Callithrix jacchus: one gene and its partners. The protein of the gene in region 5 purifies or fractionates together with the protein of the main gene of each other region. This does not show direct contact. Links are inferred from orthologs where the notes say so. Each region holds a gene or a part of one and is shown on either strand. Other genes may lie near its edges.

The links.
Region 1: the proteins of FAM98A (region 5) and RTRAF purify together in Homo sapiens (affinity purification with mass spectrometry; 4 studies listed by BioGRID and IntAct, with this or other methods). This does not show direct contact. The link is inferred for Callithrix jacchus from reciprocal best matches to the Homo sapiens genes FAM98A and RTRAF.
Region 2: the proteins of FAM98A (region 5) and ATXN2 purify together in Homo sapiens (co-immunoprecipitation; 3 studies listed by BioGRID and IntAct, counting the BioPlex papers as one, with this or other methods). This does not show direct contact. The link is inferred for Callithrix jacchus from reciprocal best matches to the Homo sapiens genes FAM98A and ATXN2.
Region 3: the proteins of FAM98A (region 5) and NUFIP2 purify together in Homo sapiens (co-immunoprecipitation; 3 studies listed by BioGRID and IntAct, with this or other methods). This does not show direct contact. The link is inferred for Callithrix jacchus from reciprocal best matches to the Homo sapiens genes FAM98A and NUFIP2.
Region 4: the proteins of FAM98A (region 5) and ATXN2L purify together in Homo sapiens (co-immunoprecipitation; 3 studies listed by BioGRID and IntAct, with this or other methods). This does not show direct contact. The link is inferred for Callithrix jacchus from reciprocal best matches to the Homo sapiens genes FAM98A and ATXN2L.

The regions. Positions count from the first base shown.
Region 1 is NC_133509.1:86,573,794-86,577,133, reverse strand, and holds part of RTRAF (RNA transcription, translation and transport factor protein), read right to left. Parts: coding exon 3,273-3,340; intron 2,153-3,272; coding exon 2,064-2,152; intron 1,129-2,063; coding exon 1,000-1,128; intron 59-999; coding exon 1-58. UniProt on the Homo sapiens protein: RNA-binding protein involved in modulation of mRNA transcription by Polymerase II. Component of the tRNA-splicing ligase complex and is required for tRNA ligation.
Region 2 is NC_133510.1:114,383,331-114,386,844, forward strand, and holds part of ATXN2 (ataxin-2), read right to left. Parts: intron 1,715-3,514; coding exon 1,469-1,714; intron 1-1,468. UniProt on the Homo sapiens protein: Involved in EGFR trafficking, acting as negative regulator of endocytic EGFR internalization at the plasma membrane.
Region 3 is NC_133506.1:104,332,396-104,336,568, forward strand, and holds the start of NUFIP2 (FMR1-interacting protein NUFIP2), read left to right. Parts: upstream 1-1,361; 5' UTR 1,362-1,450; coding exon 1,451-1,727; intron 1,728-4,173. UniProt on the Homo sapiens protein: Binds RNA.
Region 4 is NC_133513.1:29,128,575-29,132,726, forward strand, and holds the start of ATXN2L (ataxin-2-like protein), read right to left. Parts: upstream 2,813-4,152; 5' UTR 2,285-2,812; coding exon 1,983-2,284; intron 1,394-1,982; exon of another isoform or gene 1,113-1,393; coding exon of another isoform or gene 991-1,112; intron 168-990; coding exon 131-167; intron 1-130. UniProt on the Homo sapiens protein: Involved in the regulation of stress granule and P-body formation.
Region 5 is NC_133515.1:81,385,823-81,389,775, forward strand, and holds the start of FAM98A (protein FAM98A), read left to right. Parts: upstream 1-1,140; 5' UTR 1,141-1,210; coding exon 1,211-1,263; intron 1,264-3,953. UniProt on the Homo sapiens protein: Positively stimulates PRMT1-induced protein arginine methylation. Involved in skeletal homeostasis. Positively regulates lysosome peripheral distribution and ruffled border formation in osteoclasts.

The DNA of each region.
Region 1 (3,340 bases), on a different chromosome or scaffold from region 5:
GATTTGCCTTAGCAACTGCATCCTGTGTCAGGCGCTCCTGAACCAAAATTCGAATTGCCTAAGAAACCCAAAAATATTTTCACTTTTTATAGGTTGTTTACCTGTCATCCTTTTTTCTATGAGCCTAGAGAATAAGGACGCTCAATTTGATGAAGTCAGAATTACCTAGTTCATTAATAAACTCTCCAATAAATTAAAAATAAAAAACCAAACCACTAATATAAGGTAACCTTTCACACTTCTAGTATTTTAATAATGTTGAGTGATGCTTGCAACAATTAAAACTATTTTTGAATAGGTAATGCATGTGCCTATTAAATACAGCAGGATACATGGCAAAAAGTAGGTCTCCTTCCTAGCCCTGTGATCCCCTACAGATTCTTATGTACGCTCACCCTAAAACTGTGAAATGATGAGCATGCTTATGCACGAATACACATTTTTGACACAAAGGGTAGCAGATCATGCATAGTGTCTTACACTTTGCTTTTATCACTTCACTCTAGTAAAATATTTTCTTACCTTTCAAAGGACACTGTTGGTGGTTTTGATCACCAAGGCATTTCATTATGGCATGCATGCATGCAAGTATCCATACACACTTAAAAGTCAAATTTTTTTAAAATGAATTTTAATTAGAGAGATGACAGTTACAACTCAAAAATAAGTGTGAAAACTTTAAATAAAAAAACCAAATGCTATCTTTGAAAAAGAGAATTCAAACAATGTTTAACAGTGACTGCAAACATATTAAACATTCTGGTTGCCAAATAGTTAATATACTGATTCTTGTACTTGACAAATGTACTAAGATGTTTTCCATATTATGTTACTGTTTGAAAGCCTCTTAAAATAACTCAAAAGGAAAAAATGTGCAGCTAGGACTAGAATTTTATAGCTTTTTGTTGTAGCTGATTTATACTTTATCTCCTTGGGTTTTGAAGTCTAACAAAAGAACCCCAAATACACTATCCATTGTCTGATGCTCCTCTCACTTACTTTATGATTAAAGCTGACATGATCACTGTAGAACTGTTCCAAGGCAATTAACATAATTGTCTGAATAAAGAACAAGCCTTCGAAATAGCTAAATTTCACTACAAACATTTTTGTCTTTAGGCATGCAATCTGTTTTGAGAAAATCCAAGTTAACATTCAGATACAGTACAGAAAATTTTAATACCTTAGGAATACAACAGTGTTGTCAAAACTGATATTTAGTACATAAAAATCTAAAAAGCATGTTAAGTTATAGCTTAATCTCTTCTGGGTAGAGTGAAATTTAATTATTCAACTTATCACAAAGTAGTTTATATGCACAAGGTCTGGCTTTTAATCTCTTGTAAAATCGTTAATAATTTCTAAAATAATTTCCAAGTCTGGTATCTTAAGTACCACTCCCCTGATCCACACCACTGTACCTGCATGATTACTAGGAATAAATCTTTTGAAATTTATGATTTCTCTCAGAAACAAGAGACCTCTTTAAGATTACTGGGCTCCCTGAAGTATAGTTATAAACTGAGTGGACTATGTAGGATGGGGGACAGAAAGATTCATTTCTCAAAGAGATTTTGGGGTTATATATATTTCTGACCAAATTCACCATTACTCATTTGGCAGTTTTCACTGTCTTAATGAATACAGACCATGAATCATTAAAAGGACTAACTGAACAGAAGTAGGGTAATGTGGGAAAGAGAATGGACCACAGAGTTACAGTGCTCAAAATCCTGGCTCTGTCATTTTAGACACATTTACCTATCCTCATTAAGTCTCAGTTTCTTCATATCATATATATTTTTAAAAAGATATTAGCATTTGTCTCTAGGACTGTTGGCAAGATTGAATGAGAACATCTTTGCAAAGGATTTAGCATAGTGGCAGGCACAAAACAGACAATCCAAATTAGATAAAACCGTGAAATCTGTTTTATATCCCACATTCTTCTACTGTATTTTAGTCATTTGATCATAAATTTTAATATCAATAGTTGATATTTAGAAAATAAAGACATTTATCTACATGCAGTTTCTGTCAAGAATCCAGACCATGAAGCTGACCTTAAGCATTACCAGGTAATCATCATGACGTTGAATCTGAAGCAGGTTAGCCAAAGCCATCACACCAGCCTTAAAATCAGGATTATTTACTATAGAAGATTAAAAATAAAGAAAAACTTACAACTCTGCAAATGTATAATTACAGACATATTTGTGGACATACAAAAATATTTTTCACTTTTCGGTAACAACAAATCTCTTAGTTTTTAAAACTGCTACTCACGAGATAAAAAATGAAGCCCTGCAGACTATCAACAACTAAATAAATTGGTAAAAGATAAAATGGTTTTCCTATGACTGTATGAGACGGTCCCCAACTTAGGATGGTTGGACTTACAAGCTTTTGATCTTAGAATGAATTCAGTGGGATGTAACTCTAATGCAAGGTGAGGAAAATCTGAACTTACAGTGCTTCCAGTTTCATTTTTCAACTTTACAATGGGTCTTTTGGGGTGTTACATGAATTCTGATATTCAGGTAATGATTTATGATATTTTCAAAATGATCTCATCATCATTCAAGGAGCATCTGTACTTCATCAGCCAACTTGAATAATTCAATAAATGACTAATTTAACTCACATTAGGTTTGTCCTGTAACTTTTTCTGCAAGGCTAATTTATGTAGCACTTTTAATTAACATTTCTTCTCAAGGCTTTTAATTTTAATACACAGATCCCCTCAATGGATAGTTTTCCCAAAACCTTCTCTCTAAGCAGTGGCCCAGGAGTGTCTAAACGCCTCTCTCATTAAAAAGGGTTAACTCCTAAATTAGAGGTCACAATGAATTAGCCAGTGAAGGAATATTTAACATATTATAATCTAGGTAATTAGATTCTTCATACTTTTAAAAAGAGAAATTACTCAAAGACATCTGAGACTTAATGGAAAATTTTACCACGTCTCACCAGTCGCTGGATTAAAAGAAATTTATACATTCAAAAAGGTAAACAATGGCCCCATGATTAAATACAAATTAAAACCTCAAATTTCTAGAAGCAAATCAAATTAACATTCAGATGTTCAAATGCAAGGGGAAGAAGAAAGCACACTATAAAAACATAGAGAATAAAAGGTCAACATAAATACTGTCTGCATGGATCCTTGTTAATTTACTAAAACCAAGTCAACGTGGATTTCATTCTTTAAAGTAAAAAACATTTAAGCAACCCAAAATATTGATGTTCAATGTTACGCATTATATACTCACCATCCAAATTGATCAATGGTTCTGCATTTTTAGTTGCATTGTCAGCAGTTTTTGCATTATCAGGTACT
Region 2 (3,514 bases), on a different chromosome or scaffold from region 5:
AGACGAGGTTTCACCATGCTAGCCAGACTGGTCTCAAACTCCTGACCTCAAGTGATCCGCCTGCCTCAGCCTCCTAAAGTGCTGGGATTACAGGTGTGAGCCACCATGTCTTGCTCCCAAGAAGAATTTAAACATGAACTTGATCTTTAAAAGAATGCTAATATTATACACTATAATTTTCAAATGGCAATATTTGACATCTCTGAATGACACAGAAGGCATATTTCTGTGTGAATAGTCCATGAGCAGTCCTTACATCTTAATGTAATAAAGATGTTAACAGTCATTAATGATCATGTCTTAAATATTTTCTCATTATATAAATATTACTTATTCAAATGATGGACTGCAAGAAAAATAACTTTGCATTTAGTGACCACTATTAAGGCTCTTTTGGTAAAGAAATCACCTTGAAAATCAGTGGAACTTACTCTTCAAGGTTACATGCATCAAAGTCACATGACTTGCCTGCTTAGATGGTAACAATTTATTTAAAAGCAGCCTCCTTTTCTCCAGGGAAGCAGGAGAAACACACTTTGTGCAGAAAACTTTATTTGTCCCAATATAAGCAATATCAAGCATAATTTTAATGAATAAATCAGATTAAAAGGTTAACATAAATATTCAGAACTAATATCAAGAGGACATTATGATTCAGAAAACAGGTTTTTAATATATACATGGCATTTAAATTAGAATGTTACTTTTCTACAACATATCCATGTATTTGATATGTTGCAATATTGGATTTAGCACCAAATACTAATAAAGAATTACAAGATTTTATTCTTATTTTTTCCCTTATATGAAGGGAAAAAAATAGCTAAATATTCAAATTCATACGTGGTTTTTATCCATAATTTTATCTTAGATAAAAGACTTCTCCCAGATTAAAGCAGCCTTTCACTATATAATATTGCAAAGCTAATCTTAAAAAAATTACTCAGTGAAAATTTAGAATTCCTCAGGCATTCTAAAAATCAAACTACTTTAATCTAAGAGCAGACACACGAAGGCAGCTATATAGGCTGTCACTCTCAAAAAGGACCGACAAAACACCATTCCTTCTTACAGCCAATAGAAAGGTTCATTAGGACCTTGGCCAAGGAGCTGTAAAATGAACCCAAGTTCAAGACTGGCTGAAGAAAGTTCATTTGTTTATCATTACTGCATATAGTGCAAATAAGGCTGTGGGGCAGCCCTTTCTGGGGCTGTAAAGAAGCATAATTACCAGGCAGAGATAAATCCCTTTTTAACAATGATTCAGATAATTCATAGCTTCACACAACATTTATCAAATTTCTCTCTAATGAACAAAAGGTTAATAGAAATAGTTTTAATAAACTAAAGTTAAAACACAGAAATTATAGGTTATTAAATAATGAAGAGGAAACTATTTTGTAATTATAAACTCACATAGGAGTTAAACAAAGACAAACAAAAACATGAACAAATTGTGGTATTGTACCTTCTGAAGACATGCGTTTAGGCATAGTAGAGACAGGAGCTGGAGAACCATGAGCAGAGGGGTGAGACGGGGGTCTGGATGGCCGCGAGGGGGGCCTGGAGGGCGGCCGTGTAGGGGTGGCTGCCCGAGGTGGAAGAGAGTTGGGACCTGACTGGTAGCGAGAAGGTGGGCGAGAGGAAGGAGATGGGCAAGGCGATGGCCAGGGAACACCTGACAGAACAAATGATATGAAGGAAAGTATAAAAACTAAAGAAAAAAATGAGGGAAAAAAGTAAACAGAAAAAAAAGTAAAATGACAAAAATGATTTCTCGTACATTTTAACCCTTTGAGGACAGTCATTTGATTTGTGATAAGTTTTAACATAACTTAACTGACATAAATTCACATTTTACTTTAACCTCCTTAAGATTAAGTCTGTTTAAATGAATACACGTTCCCAAAGGGTTAATTAGGATCTACACACACTACTGAAGAAGACAGTTAAGACTTTGCCTATTAATCCTGCTTCTATAACTCTCAAGTAATCAGTTGTTTAAAGGAATATAACATACATTAGATAATTTCACATAATAAATCATAATAATTCCTACTCAGGAATAAGATTATTTACTGTATTAGTTTTAACTTTGAAGCATAATGAAAATAAGCAGTAGCTATTATATCCAATTAGAAATACTGGTTCCTTATAGTCATCTGATTTTCATCAGGTTTAAACCTAAAATTCAGTTTGAAATCTCATTAAGCAAGTCCCATTGAAGCAGAAAAAAAAAATTACTCTTTTCTAGAGTCACAGGAGTATCAAACGCTAATATTCATTGCTCTTTCAAAAAAGTCTTGATCTCATTAAACTTGAAAAAGGGAGACCTTCTAAATAATTTATACAGTTAAACACTTATCTAAGCGACTGCTTAGTAAATACTGCAATTACAAGGCAGTCATCACCAAATAAATCTATACTGATGGATATGCCCAGGTAAAGATACAGCTAGTATTTAACATTACATATCACTTACCTTAATCTTATCAAACACTCCAGGTCTCCTCTCCATGGAGTTCCACACACTTGAGTATCATGCATTGTCCAGCCCCTTAAGGTTTTTTAACTTTAAAATTCTGTTTATGAACAACTAAAATCTTTCCTCAGTGAGCAAAGAAATTTCACCCCCAATATTAAGTACAGAAAATACTCAAGAGTGTCCATTTGGAGAGGAATTCTGGAGAAAAGACTCAATGAAAACAAACGAAACTGGAAACTTAGTGTTCTCTATTTTCATGTTTCTAACTTTCCAAATTTAAATATCTAAAATTGAACATCCACTCTTTTCTCAATGTTAGTAACATATTATTGCTATTACTATTTCCATACCATCCATAGAACTGTTGTTCAGTATTCCTGATTTATGAAAAAGATCCACAACCTACAAGATATATTCAATCTAGATTTAGAGGTAGAGTAAAATATGTCTTCCTACTAAAGATTCAGGTTTCTTTAACTTAAGTTGCTAAACTATAACATCTACCCTTAGACTGAGTTGTTTTTGTTGTTTTTTAAGCACATTTCTCTAGTCACTTTCTTCACATGACTCTTGATCATATCTTGTAAGTTACCTGAGATCCTTTCTTGAAGCATAATACAAAAACAGTTAATGAAAATGAATCTATATTAACCACAGTGTTGCACATAGGTTAAAATTTTCCATATACATTATATCTAAATAATTTTATTACCTAGTGTTTTTAAAATTGAGAACCTATCCAAAGTTTCCAATTTCTTTATACGCGGAGTGTTTTTGGCCAAGTGATTGTCTTGGGTTAAATGCAGCACTTTATCTTAGTATATCACGAGTATTTCATCATGCTACATAATGTATATGTCAATAACGTATATAATGTTTTATTACTTTGCTTGACACAAAAGCCAATTTTAAGTAATGCTGAAGTGAAAACTACTCCGCAAGTCATTAAAGTGCACATTCTTATCAGTTATGTGAACTATTTTAAGTATTTAGAAAACTATTTGATCAATGGTATTGACAAATCTGGTC
Region 3 (4,173 bases), on a different chromosome or scaffold from region 5:
GGATTACCAGCAGGCGCCACCACGCCCGGCTAATTTTTTATTTTTATTTTTAGTAGAGACGGGGTGTCTCCATGTTGGTCAGGCTGGTCTCAAACCCTGGACCTCAGGAGATTCGCCTGCCTTGGCCTCTCAAAGTGCTGGGATTACAGGTGTGAGCCACTATGCCCGGCCATATGTACACTTAAAATTAAGATGGTAAGTTTTATACAATGAATATTTTACAATTTAAAAAATCCCCCAATCTATAACATGTATTGAGAAATGTGCGTTTTACATGTATAATCAGTTTAATAAATAATTATCAAGCAAATATATGTATAATCACCACCTGTCCCAAAAGTTATCAGAGTAACCTGTGTCCCTCCCCATCACAACCCTCTTCCTTCCTAACCACTATCACGGCTCTAACATTTGCTTTTGAAAATCATACTGTGATGTGGTAATGCAGGATAAGTTAAATCAACACTACAAAACAGCACAGAATATTTCCTTAAATTCCAATTTTTCCAAGTGCAAAAAAAAAAAAAACCACAACAACCCACTTAACTTTTAAGTTCTCTTTCTCCCCTTCCTGTGCTCTGGAAACTTCACATTCTAAAACCTATTTTAGTTCCACAGTTGACCTCACCTGCAAAGTTTAATTAAAAAAAAAAAACAAAAAAACCTTCAGTATAGATTTTCATTCCTCCCACTCTCCCTTGCCTCCAACTACAAAGAAACAATGATTTAAACCCTTTGTGCCCTTTTAGAAAATTACACAGATACCCCATTGTGGAACCCAATAATCCCTTCGTGGAAAGGAAGAGATTAGCATATGAATACAAAGCAAAATGAATCCAGAATACAAAATGATCTACTGGATTGGGAAGCTCTTGTATTCTTAAAAATGTATTTATTTCCTCTTTTTGTATTGCCTCTTTAGTGGTCGCGGGGTTAAGGGAATTGAGCTTCCCTTTCTGGCTACCCGGAAAAGGATTTTTTAAAAAACCAAAAAAACACCAGATTCTAAGAAGTGCAAAACCAACAGATGGCTCCCAGCGCCAGTGGAATCGCCAGTGGAATCTGCTACACTAGACACGAGCTTGTTTGCCGGCGAGGAGTGTAGAAAGTGCTGTTCGCAGACTGCGTGGTGAAGGAGAGAAAGCGACAGAAGAGAGAGCCATAGTGCTGACGTTGAAGGCCCGGCCCTGTGAGGTTGCACAGGGTAAGTGGCGTTGGCCAGGCGGCAGCGGGGAAGGGGAAGGAAAGAGGATTTGAGCTGGGGGCGGGGCTTGCGGCGCAGCGTGGCTCCTGATTGCTGGAGCGCGACTGCCAATCTTGCAGAATCGCTCGGTTAACCAGTGCGCTGGCGAGACGCGCTCAGATATACTGAGTGAGCCCTGAGAAGCAGTCTCAGATCCTGACGGTGCAGCAGCCCGCAGCCTCACCCAGGGAGTCCCAGCCGCTTTCAATGGAGGAGAAGCCCGGCCAGCCACAGCCTCAGCACCATCACAGCCACCACCATCCGCACCATCACCCGCAGCAGCAGCAGCAGCAGCCGCACCACCACCACCATTATTATTTTTACAACCACAGCCACAACCACCACCACCACCATCATCACCAGCAGCCTCACCAATACCTGCAGCATGGAGCCGAGGGCAGCCCCAAGGCCCAGCCAAAGCCGCTGAAACATGAGCAGAAACACACCCTCCAGCAGCACCAGGAAACGCCGAAGAAGAAAACAGGTCTGGGAGGGAGGACGGGTGGGGGAAGGGGGTTGGGGGTGGAGGACAGGGGAGATGGGGGTGGGGCCAGATCCGAAGAGCGCGGACGGGGTGGAAGTGTGTGTGTGTACCCTCCGGCTGTGGGGATGCCCCCTTTCATTCTAGAGCTCGTGCTGGGCAATGGGGTTTGCAGCGCCCTCTCCTCCTCTCCAGCATAGGAGAGGCCCAGCTAGGCCAGCGTGACCTTCCCGGCCCCCGCCCCGGCTGAAGGGAGACCCGCTGGGTGGGCCTTGCAAGTCCAAGCTTATTATTCTTTCCCATTCACCTCCCTGCCGCCCTGGAGTTACCTCAATTTGGGGGCCCTGAGAGGGGGTGAACCTACCCCCCCCAGAAAATCCCTCGAGGTGGAACTCAGGAAGGCCTAGCGAATCCCGACTCAGGTGGTGTCGCGAGACCCTTTTGCAGCCGGCGAGGAGCGGGTAGGTGGGCTGAGTTGAAGAAGTGTCCCTCACCCGCCACCCCAAGCCCACCTGTGGCCTTGGGGCTCCCTGTCTTGCGGGGGGGGGCTGTTGGGACCCCTTGTCTCACGGGTCATTTCCACCACTAAACGCCCTTTTTGGGCGTCGGACCCTGCAGTCTTTCCCCTCGGCTCCTCCCGAGGCCGGCGCCCCGGGCTCGCTCCCCCTAGAGCCGGCGCGGCTGGAATGTTCTCTCCTCCTCGCGGGGCCGCTTCCTGTCCGCCATGTTGGAAGCCGATTCCTGTCACCGACTCTGGCCCACTGAGGAGCGGAGGGGGAAGGGTGTCGAGGTCCACAAGGCGCGGCGGAGCCGGGTGACCCGGGATCACCACCGGCCGCCGCCTCGCCCCCTGCACTGCGGGGGCACCGCCGACCCCCGCCCCGTGGCCGCCCCTCCCCCCGTCGCCGCCGGGGTTGTGTAACCCGGTGGCGGCGCGCGGCCCCGGGCGGGTCCCTGGGGTGAGGGGCGGGGGCGGTTGGGGTGGGGGAGGGAAGCAGCCACGAGGGGAGCGGCTTGCGTCGGGCCCCGCGCGCCAGCGGCCGCGTTTCCCGCTCCCGGGTGCGGCGGGAGGCGCGGGCAGTCGGGGCGGGGAGCCGGCCTCGAAGCAGAGCTGTGGGGGGGAAGGAGGCCGCGGGTTGCGGCCGCGCTGCTCCTCGGGGCAGGAGGCCTTGGAGGGGCGGCGGGGGGATTCATTTTGGGTAGAGGCGGTGCCTGAGGCCGGGTGGGGTACCCAGCGGGAACCCAGCTCCCCGGTCACGAGTTTCTCTGCCACAGGAACCTCATCTCCTGCCAGGTTCGCTCACGACTCCGCCTCTGAGGCTTTCACTTGGGCCCTTTCCTTCTAACAGCTCATTTTCTATTTAAAAAAAAAACAAAAAACAAAAAACCTTGCTCCATTCCCCTCCCCACCCAGCCCTTACCTTCTGAGCTTGGGCAGTGTCTTTGAGGTGAGGAATTTTAAAAAGTGTTAGGATGGGGAAGAGGGCGAGCTTTTTGACTCCTCTTTCTTGTCCTTATGGGTGAACCCGAGTGGCTCATCCATGAGGTTAGATTACTACCATCTTGCCTGGGATGAGGTTTCTCTCCATGTTAAAAAGAAAGGTTTTTCATATTTTAAAACCGATATTGATCCCCAAACTAATCTTAAACGAGAAATTGAGGTAAAAGTCATAAAGTGTTTCACGAGGAGTTTAAAAGTTTAATACCATGCAGATTTTTAAAAATAAGGGCTCTTTATAAATCCAAAGAGAAGAAGCATCAGCATATGTTAAACTCAGCGTATTAAATTTGAGAGAAGGAATTATTGAGAGCTGGGGGAAAACTTTTATTGCAGATCGTAACTTGAAGATTGAAATTACAATGTCAGATTTTCCATTTTGGGAGTTGTTAGGGACCGATGGCATGCAGTAGAAGTGAACACATGTGAGTTAGGTGTTTAATGCTAAAGATCTGGAGCAGTTTAAAAACTGTTAGGGACTATATAACTAGATCTTTTTAGCATTAGATCTTGTTCAAAAGATGAGGAAATACTACCATATTATGGCTATATAAGACAATATGACTGTTGAGATTGAAAATTGAATTTTATTGGTCAGGTTAATACACTGTTGCAGGACTTCTTTCTCTATATAAGCAGCCCCTAAACCATTCAAAGTGGTATTCCTCCAAATATGTGTTATCTTGGAAGGGGTAGTGGATAAAGAGGAAACTGAAATTAGCAGTTTTGACAAAATGTAAACAGTTTTGGGCGAGTGTATGGTTTGGTCACAGTGCTGTTGCTTTGACATGCATAATGCTAATAACTAAGAAAACATTAGAATATTTTTGAAATTTATCTGTAACATATTGAGGTAGGCTTTTGTAGCCCTTTACTCACAAATCTAAAGAGGAACAGTTTTTTATCCAGAAGAGGGCGCAAGAGAAGGCCAAATGTGTTGAGTAATTTGTA
Region 4 (4,152 bases), on a different chromosome or scaffold from region 5:
CCTTGTGTGTGTTGGGCCCACAGCCCTCCTGAGTACATCAGACTCTCTCTAGACCTAATGTGCCCTAAATTCTCACATTATGCATCTTTTAGGTCCACGTATCTTAAAGAGGGTGGGAGGAGACACTCACAGGTGATTGTGGGGGTCCCTTTCCTGTGCTCTGTCCCCTATAAGAGAAAAAAACAAAAAATTAGTTATTTAAGTCTGTTCAAGCCTTCTTAGACCACTTTGAAATTAATGTTCCATTCCAGAAGCATATACCACTTGATGATGCTGATTTGGACTACAAAATCATTAATCAGTAAGATTTTTTCCTTTTTTTTTTTTTTTTTTTTGAGAGGGTCTCCCTCTGTTGCCCAGGCTGGGGTGCAATGGCACAATCTCAGCTCGCTGCAGCCTCAAATCTTCCTGCCTTGGCCTCCCAAGTGGCTGGGATTATAGGTGGGCACCACCACTCCTGGTTTTTTTTTTTTTTTTTTTTACATTTTTAGTAGAGATGGGATTTCCCTATGTTGCCCAGGCTGGTCTCGATCTCCTGGGCTCAAGGGATCCTCCACCTCTGCCTCCCAAAGTGCTGGCATTACAGGCACGAGCCACTTCGCCTGGCCAATCAATAAGATTTTCATCTTGCAGAGGAAGAAAAAAGTAGGCGTTAAAAAGCCAGGAAACACATTTCCTCCTAATGCCAGTAAAAAAAGATCTCAATCAACAACGATTGTCAATTGCTCTAAAAACCAACGAGAAAGGGGTTAGGGCTGCCTGCATGTTACCAACAGATCAATGCTACGGATTAACCAAAAACCCACCCCAGCTGTGCAGGCAAAGCTCCAGGAGTGCAGCTTCGAAACTACCTAGCTCAGGCACATTACCTCCCAAACAGAAAAGACAATCATATTTTCAGCAGCCTGACGCCTCAAACCCTGGGAGGAGGGGGTATCCCTTCCACATCCCATCCCCTCGACCTCATAACTCATTCACCCCGTTACCCACTCTGCGGATGTCACCAAACGCCAGGTAACCCTGCTCGTCGCTGGCTGATGTAACCGGCGGTTGAGGAGGGCGAAGAGGGGGCCGCTGGCGGGGCTGGGGGACAGCGCAGCCGCAAAAGCCATCCACCGGGAGGCATCGCCCGGTCTGCGCCTGCGCACTAAGGCCCACGGGCCTCTTCAAAACCCCCCCACCTCGCGCGATCAGAGCCCACTGCGCCTGCGTGTGCCGCCACTCTCAGTTCTATTAACACACACGCACACACAGAAAAAACTGAGCAGGGCGTCCACTACTCATGCACCGCCACCAGACGAGCCCCTCCACGAACTGTCCCAGCTCCTGCCCTAGGTGTTCCAGGGACGCGCGAATGCCCGGGTCATGAGACCGAGCATCCACGCGCACGTACGGGAAGGGGGCGCGCGCGCCAGAGGTTCCCGTCCCGCAGTCCTCCCAGCCGTCCCTCCTTCCGTCCCCCCGCCCACCTCGCTCCCCTCCTACTGGCCAGACCGACGGGAAAAGGGAGGCAGCAACCCGCTCCCAAGTCCCTCCCTCCCCATTGGCCAAACTGTGGGCCGCGCGCCCCCCTCCATTGGCTACGGCCGGGGACCCCTTCCCGCAGCAGACTCCCTATTGGCTAAAGCCGGGAACCGCGAGACCCTTCGTGGTAATGGAACCGGGGACCCCGATCACCTCCTCGCCCCCCCAACTCCCCGTTTCGACGGCGCCGGCGGGATGCGCCCCGCCTCCCCTGAAGGCCGGGACTGCGAGCCCTGACTAGGCCCCGAGAGCCGAGCGCGGCCCCTCAGCGTTCCGGTAGCAGCTCGGGGACCCTTTCCCTCCGACCTGTTTGGACCTGAGGGGGCCCTCCCCCGGCTTCACGGGGGCTCCTCGCCCCGCCGGTGCCCCTCACGGTGCCGAGTCGGGGTACGCCCCGCCGGAACCGAGCCCGTCTCCGGGTGGCCGAGGCTTCCCCGCCCGGAGCCCACCGTCCTCACCTGGCGCTGCCGATGGTGGCAGCCCCTGGCCTCTCCTGGTGCTGCTGCTGCGGCGGCGGCGGCTGCGGCGCCAAGATGCCTTCTGTTCCCCGGCGGAGCCCGCTACCGGCAGCGGCCACAGGCCCCAGGCAGGGGGAGGCGGCCGCTGGAGGCCCGGGCGGAGCCGCGGAGGTGGCCAGCGGCCCCGGGAGCCCGCCGTTGGGAGGGCTGGTGCCCCCGGGGGGCCGGCGGGCCACGGCCTGTTGCGTGGGGGGCGGCTGCTGGGGCTGGGAGGGCTGTTGTGGCGGCTGAGGCTTCAACATGATGGCAGCGTCCGGAAGGGGAATCAGAGGGAAGGGAGGGAGAGAGGGGGCCGGGGCTGGGGCCCCGCCGGAGAGCGCGGGAAGCGAGGGGGATCGGGCAGCCGGGGCCCGCCGTTGGCGGGCGGGGGGAGCCCCGCGGTGTCGGGGGTGGAGAGAGAAGACCGCGGCGCGAGGAAGCGCCGCGAGGCGGAAGGGGAGGGGGTCTCGCGGGCTGGAGGAAAGCGAGAGGGCGCGAGCCGGGCTGGCGCGCGTGCGCGTCGCCGGGGCGCGGGGAGGGAGGAGCGCGCGGGCGGGAGCTCCCGGGGGGAGGGGCAGCCGGAGCGAGCGGTGGCGCGAGGTGCAGCGCACACCGGCGCGGTCACCTCCTGCGGTAGGGAGGGAGAGAATCAAGTCGGTGAACCTCGCACCCCTAGCCCTGGGAGTGGGTAAGGAGCGGCGCGGGCGCTCACGCGCGCCAAGGATTTAGGGTCTCAAGGTCTCAAACCGCCTTAGAAGCCGGCGGCCGCGGTCGCTTCACAATGAGCGTGTGAGGCGCTGGGGGAGGAGCCGAAGGCGCCAGAGGAAGGGCCGGCCGCTCCGCCCACATCGGCGCTGCGTCGCGACGCCTCCGCGGGAGTGTGAGGCGGCACGTCGTGCGTGAGGCTCTTCCGCCACTTGGGGGCCTTTGGGCGGAGCCTTAAGTGCCAAAAACCTCTCCTGGACTGGAGCGCCCGAGCGACTGCACTTTTAGGCAGGTGGTATGTTTCGCAAGGAGCTATTCTCCACCCTGTTTGCTTTAAGTAAAAGACTGATGAGCATAAATCCTTCGTTTGAGCGTGATATTTGCATATGAATTTATGCCTCGTCCTAAATTGTAAATTTTATTGATTTTAACCTAAATTGTTCTTCCATGCCCGAGAATGAATCTTTAAACTGTAGTAACAAAGACTATCTGAAGTCCAAAGTTCTGAGTTGAAAATCCTCCACCCAACCCTACAAAGAAGGTAACTTCATTTATTCAAAATGAGTTGGGCATTTAGGTACGTGTTTTGGACACAGGATAATTAAAATGCTTTCTGCTCTCAAAGATTTCACACTAGTGGTGGATTCAGAGAATTTGACGAAACCTAGTAGGTGAAGCACAGGGCACTACAAGAGCAAATGGTAGTGACACCTAATCTTAATGAAGTATTGGGTGACCAGATAACCAACAAGAGGGCCAGAGGCAGTGGCTCTGACACCTGTAATCCTAACACTTTGGTAGTCTAAGGCAGGAGGAGCGTTTGAGGCCAGGAGTTTAACAGCCTGGGCAATGCAGTGAGACTTTGTCTCTACAAGAAATAAATTTTAAATTATTTTTTAAAAAAACAACTGATAAGAGGGTAGGGAGATGGGTTTCTTCCTCTCCCCACCCCCACCCCCGCCATAGAGTTTTGCTCTTGTTGCCCAGGCTGGATTACAATGGCAAGATCTCAGCTCACTTCAACCTCCTCCTCCTCCTGAGTTCAGGCAATTCTCCTGCCTCAGCCTCCTGAGTAGCTGGGATTACAGGCATGTGCCACCATGCCCAGCTAATTTTTGCATCTTTAAAGAGACGGGGTTTCACCATGTTGGTCAGGCTGGTCTTGAACTCCTGACCTCAGGTGATCCACCCACCCTGGCCTCCCAAAGTGCTGGGATTAACAGGCGTGAGCCACCATTCCTGGCTGGGAGATGGGTTTCTAGGCAGGGGAATAGGATGTGACTAAGAAGAACTCTGCTTGATCTAACCATAAAATTAAAGGGGGAAGAGGTAACTAACCTGGGACCACGTTTTAAAGGCTGGCAAGTCTTGTAAGAGACCTGGACATTATCCTTAAAGCAGTGGGGAGCTTTTTTAAGAAAGTGAA
Region 5 (3,953 bases):
CTCATTTTTCAATAATTTCTTTCTTTATTTATTTTTTGAGATAGAGTCTCACTCTGTCACCAGGCTGGAGTGCAGTAGCACGATCTCGGCTCACTGCAACCTCAGCCTCCCTGGTTCAATGAATTCTCCTGCCTTAGCCTCCCGAGTAGCTGGGATTACAGGCACCTGCCACCATCCCCAGCTAATTCTTCTATTTTTAGTAGAGACGGGGTTTCACCATGTTGGCTAGGATGGTTTTGATCTCCTGACCTTGTGATCTGCCCGCGTCGGCCTCCCACTGTGTTGGGATTGCAGGCGTGAGCTACCCAGCTCGGGCAGTTTTCAATAATTTCTAAGCACACACTCATTAACTGCGAAGATACCTTAACACATCGTGAACTCAATGTTTCACCCGGGCAAATGTCAAAAGCAATGACAGTACAGCCAAAAAGTTTATTCACTGTCTAAACTACGTGGATTTAAATATATTCTACTTAATTTGCTATGGAATGAGGCTCCCACTTATCCTTAAAATAACATGCTTAGTGTCTGGGAAGGGCTTTAGAAATCAGGTAGAGTCCGAGTGAGGGTAAACGACCCAACTTTCTGAATATCCACTGTCTAAGGAAAGTTGACTCTCCCTAACCCTGAAACACAGCTACGGCAGCCACAAGGAAATCAAACGTCTCGCTATCTGCACTTGGGCCGTCTACCCCAGTTCTGGGCAAATGACCCGCAAGCTAAGGCTAGCACAGGCCGGCACACTACGAAGAGCCACCGGATCCCCTGTCTCGGATGAAGAGATGCGGTTTCACAGCCGACTCCACCCGAGTCCCGACACCAGGTTCTTCCAAGCTCCCTCCCTGCCCGCCTCGCCCCCCTAGATTCGCACATGCGTACACCCAATAAAGAGAGCCGAGACCTCTCCCCCTCGCGTGGTCCCCACACCCAGCTGCCACGCAGCCGGTCCTCCTGCCCTTCTTTGGCGGTTGGCTTCACTATCCAGTAACACGCATGTGCAAAACTGCGCGGCCCTACAATTCCTTAGCAGGCAGGGGTGGGGCTGTCAGTGGGACCAAGTTTCTTGCGCACGCTCCGGACATGCGCAGTGCGGGAGCTGAGGCGCCAGCTGTCGATTTGGAAGTTCCGGGGAAGTCGCGCATGCGTGAGTGTACGCGTTGCCGGCGAAGAGGGGAGCCTGACGACTCGGAAATTTGAATACCACAGTAGCATGGAGTGTGACCTCATGGAAACTGACATCTTGGAGTCGTTGGAAGATCTAGGGTAAGACTGCCAGGGCACGGGTCTCCCAAGCCCTACACTGCCGGCCCCCTGGGAACGCCTCCAGCACCCCAGTCTGAGACACCTGCCTCTCCACGCCGCACCCCGTGGCTCCTGGCTGTCTCTTCCCTTTGGCCCCGGAACCCCCCAATGCCACGTCCTCTGTCTGCACTGCTCTCTCGGGGTCCTCCAATCCCAACACCCCTAGGCCAGCCCGGTGCTTCCTGCAGCCGAGCTACCCGCAGTGTTTGTCAGTCATGCGTGTCATTGTCTGGGCTCTGGTTCTCGCCACCCCCACTCCCCGAGCTTCTCTCCTTGCTTCATCTTCCTGCCCTGCCCTTAATCCCCCAACTCTAAATTTGCCAAAGTTGGTTCTGCTTTCCTACTTGTTCTCCAAATTTCCTGCTCCCATCTTGAGCCCCTACTCCTACCTCACCCCACTTCTCTCAAAATTTCTCGTTTGCCCAGTCATCTCTGCATGCACCCAGGCTTCCCTAAGCCACATGTATGAGCGTTGCATCTGTTCCGCTAGCCAGCTCACTTGTGCATCTAACCTATCACCACCTCCTTGGGAACCACCGGCAGTTTCCCTTGATTCTGTGACTCTCTGCCTCGTTGAGCCCCATTAGACCAGGGTCGTCTTCACCCACCAAGAAGCTGCATATTTGTTTTGCATTTTGTCTCTCCTCCTCCTGATAGTTATTCAACCATAATTCAACAGGATCTAGAAGCTGGAAATAGGGTTTGTTATCTCACTGGGTCACCCAGATCAGTGAACTCTATTAAACTTGAGAACGTGTAACCTCTTGGGCTATGTGGTTCCAGTAACAAATTATATGATTAGATATTTACCTACAGGTACGGTATCAGAACAAAGTACAGATTTAGCTGGCTAAGTAACAAGTTCTTTATCAAAACTCTCTCTTGTTTTTCCACAACAACAAGGAAATCTTTGAGAGAAACCTTTCTTTAGGAAAAAACACCTTGAGGATTCATCTTTCTTTGTCAAAGTGAAATACCATTGTTCTTTTCTTGGAAACTTGCTTTGAATTTTCATAAATATTCCAGACTTTAGGGCGCTTCTTTCATTAGGGCACATGTTAAAGTCATTCACCAAAATAGTCTCTTTAGTTGACATCTCAGACTGAATTGCCTGTTCACACATGAAACCATTCATTCATTAGGCCTTTTAAAGGAACAGTTGCTTTGTGGCAGTGTTGGGTACTTAGGGTACAAAGTGAGGTGGAAGAAGGGTTCACAGGATGCTGGAAAAATATGCTTTGAGGAGCCCTGAGGAGGGTCCCTTCACTGGGAAAGGAAATGAAGTCCTAGAAGCTTCTTTCTGGAATAAATGACACCGTAGTACTGAAGGAAGAGTGGAATGAAAGGGAGTAGCAAGACCTTATTTAAATAGTCTTTCTGCATGGATGGTGGTCACTTAAGAATTGGCCACCGATGCTGTTTCTTCCCATTGTCTCTTTTTTCCCTCCTTTTTAAAAAACTTTTTATTCTTTTGGGTACTCTACAAGTAATTGTTACTGTAGTAATTGTAATCACATAAATACTTGAGTTGGATTGTAATGTAAACAATGGATTTTCCAAAAATGATTATACATTTTAACCTTAACTACTTATTGTGGTGGCGTTCATACATTAAAAAGTCTTAATTAATTGAAATGTACTTTTCAGGGATTCACTGGGAAATATTAGAATTAAACGACTACCTTTTCTATTTATTTATTAAGAGATGAGGTCTCTCTCTGGTAACCAGTTTTGTCACCAACTCCTGGGCTCAAGTGATCCTCCCACCTCAGGCTCCAGAGTAGCTGGAACTACAGGTGTATGCACTGATCCCCCAAATGACTCTTTTGTCTCTTACGTGGCACCCAGTAGGAATTCAGTAACTACTTGTTGAATAAACTAATGAAGCCTAAATGTGAAACACAGGGAGAAACTTCTAGGTCTAGTCTTTTGATTCTGGTATCTAATAATATGTAGTTTCTAAATCTAGATGCCAGACTACATGTAATCTCATTTTTTTGTGTATGATTTTTTTCATTCTGTTGCATATACTGTATATACCTATAATCATATTTTAAAGGGATTGAGAACTCATTTCTCTAACATATCTGTATCTCTAAACATTATCAAGCATATTTACTGTAACATCTTGAATAAGTGTTATTATCAATATTTAAGAGAATATAAAACAATCTGAATAATACGTATATGATTACTTGGAGTGACAAAAGTTTTTTTTTTTTTTGAGACAGAGTTTCGCTCTTGTTACCCAGGCTGGAGTGCAATGGCATGATCTCGGCTCACCGCAACCTCCGCCTCCTGGGTTCAGGCAATTCTCCTGCCTCAGCCTCCTGAATAGCTGGGGTTACAGGCACGCGCCACCACGCCCAGCTAATTTTTTGTATTTTTAGTAGAGACAGGGTTTCACCATGTTGACCAGGATGGTCTTGATCTCTTGACCTCGTGATCTACCCGCCTCGGCCTCCCAAAGTGCTGGGATTACAGGCGTGAGCCACGGCGCCTGGCCCGACAAAAATCTTAAATTTTAGAATATTGGTGATTGGAGTTCATTATGACTATCATCTTTTATGAACGTTTGAACATCTTTAAATTTTTAAAAATTACATTAGGATTACTTAAAAGGATTAGGATTCAGATGCCCCAGTTCATTA